Nothobranchius furzeri: one gene and its partner. The protein of the gene in region 2 binds, or shares a complex with, the protein of the main gene of each other region. Links are inferred from orthologs where the notes say so. Each region holds a gene or a part of one and is shown on either strand. Other genes may lie near its edges.

Region 1 (3,821 bases), about 6.8 Mb from region 2:
ATGTTATCGTGATATTTATCAAATATTGTTATATATTGAGAAAAATATATATTTAATTATAAAAGAGAATTAAAATAATAAACACTCAAAAGTATCGAAAATTGGTACCGTTAAGTACCGGTATCGATTCCTAGGTACCGGTAATTAGTACCGGATCGATTCAAATGTCAAAGGTACCCATCCCTATGCAACACTGACCGCTACTGGAGATCCTTCCTGCCAACAGCCATTGTAATATACAATAACTCTTTGACGACTTGATTATTATTATTATCCTGAGCTACTACAGCAATCAATTTCCCTCTGGGATTAATAAAGTATTTTTGAATTGAATTGAATTTTGAACCTCACTCCCTGCTCAGTTACTATAAGATGGCAGCATGCTGAGAGTACAGATTGTTGTTGCTTTTAATTAATAAACAATCATTTTAAAGCACTGTTATTATATCTGACTGTTTTTAACAGCAATCCTAGCTCAGACACCACATCACTTTCCACATATATGTCATGAGCTCACTGAGCGTCAGATTACCAGATTCATACTGAAGTTGTTTTGCTGAAAGTAGCTTAAAGTAATGCAAAAGTAGTGTAATGCCTTACATTTTCAAATCAGTAATACTGTAATGTAATGAATTACTTTAAAATGAGGGTAACAAGTAGTAAATAATGCATTACCGTTTTGAAGTAACTTGCCCAACACTGGTTACAGCCTGAAGTCTGGAAGACATAGACATCACCAGACGTTGGGTTTCATCCCTGGTGATGCTCTGCCAGGCCTCTACTGCAACAGTCTTCAGTTCCTGCTTGTTCCTGGGGCCTTTTCCCTTCAGTTTTGTCTTCAGCAAGTGCAATGAATGCCCAATCGGATTCAGGTCCGGTGACTGACTCGGCCATTGCAAAACAGTCCACTTCTTTCCCTTCAAAAACTCTTTGGTTGATTTTGCAGTATGCTTTGGGTCATTGTCCATCTGCACTGTGAAGCGCCATCCAATGAGTTCTGAGGCATTTGGCTGAACATGAGCAGATAATATTGCCCGAAACACTTCAGAATTCATCGTGCTGCTTTTGTCAGCAGTCACATCATCAATAAATACAAGAGAACCAGTTCCACTGGCAGCCATACAGTACATACCCACGCCATGACACTTCCAGCACCATGCTTCACTGATGAGGTGGTATGCTTAGGATCATGAGCAGTTCCTTTCTGTCTCCATACTCTTCTCTTCCCATCACTCTGGTACAAGTGGATCTTGGTCTCATCTGTCCATAGGATGTTGTTCCAGAACTGTGAAGGCTTTATTACATGTTGTTTGGCAAACTCTAATCTGGCCTTCCTGTTTTTGGGGCTCACCAATGGTTTAGATCTTGTGGTGAACCCTCACACTGGTGGAGTCTTCTCTTGATTGTTGACTTTGACACAGATACACCTACCTCCTGGAGAGTGTTCGTGATCTGGCCAACTGTTGTGAAGGGTGTTTTCTTCACCAGGGAAAGGATTCTTTGGTCATCCACCACAGTTGTTTTCCCTGGTCTTCCGGGTCTTTTGGTGTTGCTGAGCTCACCGGTGCGTTCCTTCTTTTTGAGAATGTTCCAAACTGTTGTTTTGACCACGCCTAATGTTTTTGCTATCTCTCTGATAGGTTTCTTTTGTTTTTTCAGCCTAATGATGGCTTGCTTCTCTGATAGTGACAGCTCTTTGGATCTCATCTTGACAGTTGACAGCAACAGATTCCAAATGCAAATAGCACACTTGAAATGAACTCTGGACCTTTTATCTGCTCATTGTAATTGGGAGAATGAGGGAATAACACACACCTGGCCATGGAACAGCTGAGAAGCCAATTGTCCCATTACTTTTGGTCCCTGAACAAGTAGGAGGCACATATGCAAAATGTTGTAATCCCTACACCGTTCACCTGATTTGGATGTAAATACCCTCAAATAAAAGCTGACAGTCTGCAGTTAAATCACATCTTGACGATTCATTTGATATCCATTGTGGTGGTGTATAGAGCCAAAAAAAGTTAGCACTGTGTTGATGTCCCAATTTTTATGGACCTGACTGTAAATTTGACCCTTAGAGGTCCCTCGTGCATTTTTCTGTGCAGGCAGTTGTGTTTTTGAATAACTTTAGCTGTGCTGATGCAATTCTTTTTATTTTTTGCTCTGGTGTGTGTTTTGGGGGAAGTTCACTAAAAGTTCACTAAAAATAAAATCAGTCATCAGACATTAATTAGCTAATTCACTAGATTTCCTTTTCTGAACAAGAAAGCTCAACTTAGCAGCATAAACTGGACTGACTCGAGGGTCTAAAGCCAGGTAATGTGTGTTTTACACAATAAACACAAATCTTCTCCTGTTCTCTTCCATACCATCAGGGGTCACACTTACTTTCCGTCTTTGAAGTATGTTTTGAGGGTGTCACTGAAGCTTTTCGAGTACTTCACAAACTCCTTTTTCTGGTGCTCCAGGGGCTTTATGAGCATTAAAAGTAAGGAATGATTAGCAGAAGCAAAGATAAGATTTTAAACATTAACAGACATGCTCCACTACTCACTCTGCGAGTCTGGTACTGGTGTCTCTTAATGGCAGCATTGACCGAGTCCAGGAGGTCTTTTATGGCGCTTGCTATGTCTCTGTGAACAGAATGCAACTTGGATAAGAAACAGAACTTCAAACCAACTACTCAGAATGAAACACGAGGCTCTATGTTTACATAACAATCATTAAAAGTGTTCTGATATCGACTTGGGAAGAACCTCAGAACTGATTTCTCTGATCCACAAGATATTTAAGGTAACTTGTCTCTAGATCAGGGTATTCAATTCTGGGCCTGGAAGGCCGGTATCCAGCATGTTTTTGTGGTTTCTCTGCTCAAACATACTTGATTTAGTGGACGAAGCACCTATGGAGCCTCTATGCCCGGCATTGAATACTCTTGCTCTAGATCAGGGGTGTCAAATATGCGGCCCGCGGGCCGGATGTGTAAACTTTATTTTCATACTTTACAATGTAGAGTTAAAATAAACTTATCTTTGTGAGCAAGTTTTCTCTGTAATGAGTATAAATAAAACAAAGCTGTGCTCAAGGCCCACACAAGAACTTGAGTCACATCCTGAAGTTGGCTGCCACTCGGGATGTGACTTCTGATATTGATGTGCTGGTGAAAGCTAAAAGATGTAAAGTAAAATGAGTCAAATATACTTTAAGTGCTGCATGAAACTGATCTTGCCATGTGATCTGTAAGCTCTTTGGATCACTAAGGAATGTTTTTATTTGTTGATTTTTAAATTTTTTTCAAATTTTCAAGTACACTTCAGGTGTTGTACTTGTACTACACTGTCCTCAGGCTCCAGCCTTGTTTTATATTGACTGTATTAAAACAAAGAAAACAATCTGAAGTATTTTTTAATTTACCGGTCCGGCCCACTTGGGACTAGATTTCCCTCAATGTGGCCCCTGAGCTAAAATGAGTTTGACACCCCTGCTCTAGATGGTTTAAAAACCCGTGTGTTAAGTTGCAGACACTCACTTGATAGTTTGTAGAAAGCGTACTCTGTCATTGATCTCATCTGGGATTTTGCTAAGGATGTGTTTCAGTGCTCTGGCCTTCTCATTTACGTCCTGGAACTCCTGCTCAGGCCTGTCGATCATGAACTCTGCAGGAGAACATTCCCACAGATACATTTATCAACACGCTCAAAAAAACAAACATGAAATTAGGGCGAGAAAACCCAAAACATCGTTTCCTTAACTTACCTTCAACATCATCCGCCGCCATGCGCAGCAGAGATTCAGTGAAGTTGATCTGAACGTTCTTT
Region 2 (4,318 bases):
GGTGCTCTCATAAGTATGGGCTTGGGCACGTTCAACACATGTCTTAAGGCTGTCGTTGCCACTAAATGCACTATGATTTATTATCGTGTGATTGTTCAGTTAAACAATGTTGATTGTATATTTCTTCAAGTTGACGCAGTGATAGCTTGCTCTTTTTGTATTGTGTGTCCCATTTTTTAAAATTATTTTTTCCCTTTCTCTTTCTGCAGGTCTAGAAGCAAACTCTTGTTCATTATTGTTTATTTGTCCCCCCCTCTTTTCCTTTCTCTTTCACCTCTGACTCCGTGTCTGGTCGGAATTACAAAGCATTCCAAAACAATAACAATAAAGTTTTAAGTATCAGGCGTGATAAAAGCAGACACTTTGATGCTCCACCTGAGAGTAAATCTGTAAGGCTTGTCACCAGCATTCAGACTTCAATTCTCACAGCCAGACTGGACAAGAATTTTTATTAAAATAAACAAATAAATAAATAAATGCATCCATGAACATTTTAAGGCTACATAAATATCAAGACTCAAGTAAACATACAGCTTAAAGGTAGTAGCGGAGACACTTTAAAGTTGATAACTGAATACACTTAGAAATTAATGAATAAAAGTTATCTTTACGAGTTGTTTTTGCCTGGTGGTGGTCTCACCTCCTGACCAGGCAACACCATTTATAGTTACTTAAATAGTTATAGTTTAGAGTAGCAGGCGCTACTTGTAACATTAGTTATATAAATAAACATTTTCCCATCAAAACAGACTTTGATGAAAAGATGTGATGTTATGTCGATTTGTGTTCCCCCCTCGAGATCTGTTTCTTTTGCACCCGGCTGCAAATTACGATCCAATCACAAAAAATAATCCTCACCCTAACCAGCTGGCACCAAAAATTTCTGTTTAGCATAAATATAATTTTAGAAAATATTATGTGTAGCGCAATTTTTATGTTTGTTTCAGGGTTATGGTTAGGGTAAGAGTTGGGGTAAGGGTTAGAAACACACATTTTTTGCGAGTGGATGGTTCAAACTCGCAGCTGGGTGCAAAAGAAACCGAATCTCGAGGGGGGAACACATATCGACGTAACACCGCCTTATCACACGTGCAGTTTGTACGATTACGAGACTGTTCCTACTCGGAATTTGTAATGTCCAAGTTCAGTGATGATAAACGAACCGCATTTTATAGCGAGGCGAAGACTCCATATAAGATAACTTTAGGACAAAGAGGTTCGGAAGGAAAGACTAATTTATTGGTAATACACCCTCCGGTCCAGTTGGTGGCAGTAATGCACGAAAACGTTTACTAATCATCATTGTACAAGAAGAAAATGTCCCATCATGCAGCGCGGCTGGATTCTCTCACAGTGACAGTCAGATCCAGACTGAGCGGCGATGGCAGTCGGTTAAATTATCTCGTTCACGCCACGGTAATAACCAGCCGCTCTCCCTGAGACGCTCCTGGTCAGCAGCCGCCCACGTCGGCGGCAGGGGTCCCGCCGAAATAGGCACGAGGCCGGCAGAGAGACGGTGGACTGTCGCTAAAGCCTCCCATAAAACAACAATATCCAAACGAAACGTTAAAACAAGGAGGAACATCCCGGCGGAGGAGGAGCGGCTCCGCGGCCGCAGCAGGGCAGCAGCGGTGCAAAAGCACCGATCGAAGCCGTCATGGCGTCGCAGAATGCCGATGACTTGCCCCGGCCGCAGCAGCAGTACACCATTCCTGGAATCCTACACTACATTCAGCACGAGTGGGCCCGGTTCGAAATGGAACGGGCTCATTGGGAAGTGGAGAGGGCCGAACTCCAGGTTAGCCACATAGCACGGCTACCCAAACACCTAGCGTTAGTTAAAACCACAGTAGGTCTAAACAGCCCACTGACAGAACCGAACCGAGCCTTCTAGAAGAGGATCGGTTTGAAATAAACAGATTGTTGGTGTTCTGGTGTGTGAATGATTGATGTTAATGGACTTAGCCACTAACCACACTTAGCCTCTAGACAGCAGCTAGCTGCACTGTGATCTGTGGGCGGTTCTGGGTCGGAAACTGGCTACTGGTTCCTGGTTTAGATGGCCGCGAGTATATTTAATTATGTCATCTCATCTGGTCCGTCTCAGCTAGCGGAGTTAGCAGTGATGCTAAGGCCAGGACTCTTGAGTCAGAATTCAGATAACAGCTTCACCTCCGTGTGTGTGTGAGAGAGAGAGGGAGACCCCACATCCTCTAAACTAATAAAGTTCTCAAACATCTGCAGCCAAGGCTCAATACAAGCTGACTGTTGGTGCTGTGCCTTTGGAGTGTAAAAATCCGCAACATTCATAAATGTCAGAAAGGTGATGAAAAAGTCAGAAAATGACACAAATCCTTCCGTCCTTTAGGTTCTCGTGGCTCAGGTGTCTGAAATATGCCAGTTGTGTTGTTCTGGTGCAGGTGCTCATCTACAGGAGGTCTGGTTCTCACATAAGAGCATAAGCGTAAGGGTAGCAGCCTAAGCGGATAGGCCCAGACTTCCCTCTCCCCAGCCACTTGGGCCAGCATCTCCAAGGGAATCCTAAAGAGTTCCCTGGCCAGCTGAGAGACATAGTTTCTCCAGCATGTCCTGGGTCTTCCTTTAGGTCTCCCGGTTGAACACGCCTGGAAAACCTCACCAGGGAGGCATCCTAAGTAGATACCAGAGCCACTCTCGATGTGGAGGAGCAGCGGGTCTACTCCGAGCCCCTCCTGGATGACCAAGCTTCTCACCTTATCTCTAAGGGAGAGAGCCCAGCCACCCTTGCAGAGAAAACTCATTTTGGCCACTTGTACCTGCAATCTCGTTCTTTAGGGTTGTAACGTAGATCCACCGATAAATCGAGCGCCTTCTGGGTCAGCTCTCCCACCATAACAGCTGGTACAATGCCCGCATCACTGCAGACGCAGCACCAGTCCACCTATCTCCCGCTCCATCTTTCCCTCACCCGTGAACAAGACCTAGACCCAGAGTTACTTAAACTTCTCCACTTGAGGCAGGACCTCATCCCTGACTCGGAGAAGGCAATCTACCCTTTTCCTGACTTGACCATGGTCTCGTATTTAGAAGAGCTGATTCTCATCCCGGCTGCTTCACATACGATCCGCTTCAGGGAGAGCTGGAGATCACGTTCTGATGAAGCCAACGGGACCACATCATCTGCAAAAAGCAGATACCTGATCCTCACCCCACTAAAACAGGTCCCCTCAACACCTTGGCTGTGCCTAGAAATCCTGTCCATAAAAGTTATAAACCGAATCGGTGACAAAGGGCAGCCACGGCAGAGTCCAACTCTCACCGGAAACAAGCCCAACTTACTGCCAGTGATGCAGACCGAGCTCTGGCACCGGTCTGAGTTATTAAGTAGAAATTAATTAGCATCAGGAAACACGCTGAGGTCAGCAGGTCAGACCAGGAGAACATTTTGGCCTTCTGTCAGTCTGTCTGTTGCTTCACCGTAGTTTACACTAGGCTCTGCTTTGTCACCAGTTTGTTGCACTTCACTGGTTCACATGATGTTTGTCATGTTGGCATTAGTTGGGGTGAAACTGGAGAGTGTATTTCAGGGTTTTGTGATTCCTAATATTTGAGGGTAGTGGTGATGAAAAACGAGAATTGCTGGTGTTTTAAATGAACGTTTGTTCCAGCCACACTTCACGTTCTTAGTCGATTGATGTTCTTCATGGTGTAGTAACTTCCTACAGCTGCTAACACACTGGGATTATTCGGAATAATGACATCTTAATATTTTTTCTTGTCTGTTTATTAACCGGGCGTATAAAGGGACTGGCATTCAAAAAAGAGGTCAGTCAGAGCTGGTTTGGTTTTGTCAATGTTTAATTTTAGTGGTTTACCACCCCTTACAAAACACGCACACACACCAGGCCAGGGATATTCAGTTCCAGGCCTGGAGGGCCAGTATCCAGCACGTTTTAATTTTAACTGTTTCAACACACCTGATTTCAATCAGCAGGAAATAACAGGTCTGAGCTGCTGCCCTGGTGATTCAATCACTGAATCAAGTGTTGGAGCAGAGAAACCACTAAAACGTGCTGGATACCGACCCCCAGGACTGTCTAGGCCAACAGACATTTTAAAGAACGTAATGTTGAGTTGAAGCAAAAGGCTGAAGGCTACAAGATGGGAGGCTTTAGCATGGCCCACCGGGCCCTGCTCTGACAGCTCCAGCCCAGCTGAACACTAAAAGTAGATCTGCCATAAATAACTTCAACGCACACACACACACACACACACTTCTCCAGTCAGAAATCTTAGAAATATACTCATGCACCTTCATTTCAGTTAAATACTTGTTCCG

What was found.
Region 1: strn3 (region 2) and programmed cell death protein 10-B share a complex: the UniProt entries of both Homo sapiens proteins name them as parts of the core of STRIPAK complex. The link is inferred for Nothobranchius furzeri from reciprocal best matches to the Homo sapiens genes STRN3 and PDCD10.

Annotation. Positions count from the first base shown.
Region 1 is NC_091758.1:24,820,570-24,824,390, forward strand, and holds part of programmed cell death protein 10-B, read right to left. Parts: coding exon 3,760-3,821; intron 3,660-3,759; coding exon 3,533-3,659; intron 2,637-3,532; coding exon 2,558-2,636; intron 2,475-2,557; coding exon 2,392-2,474; intron 1-2,391. UniProt on the Homo sapiens protein: Promotes cell proliferation. Modulates apoptotic pathways. Increases mitogen-activated protein kinase activity and STK26 activity. Important for cell migration, and for normal structure and assembly of the Golgi complex.
Region 2 is NC_091758.1:17,977,121-17,981,438, forward strand, and holds the start of strn3 (striatin-3), read left to right. Parts: upstream 1-1,304; 5' UTR 1,305-1,657; coding exon 1,658-1,798; intron 1,799-4,318. UniProt on the Homo sapiens protein: Calmodulin-binding scaffolding protein which is the center of the striatin-interacting phosphatase and kinase (STRIPAK) complexes.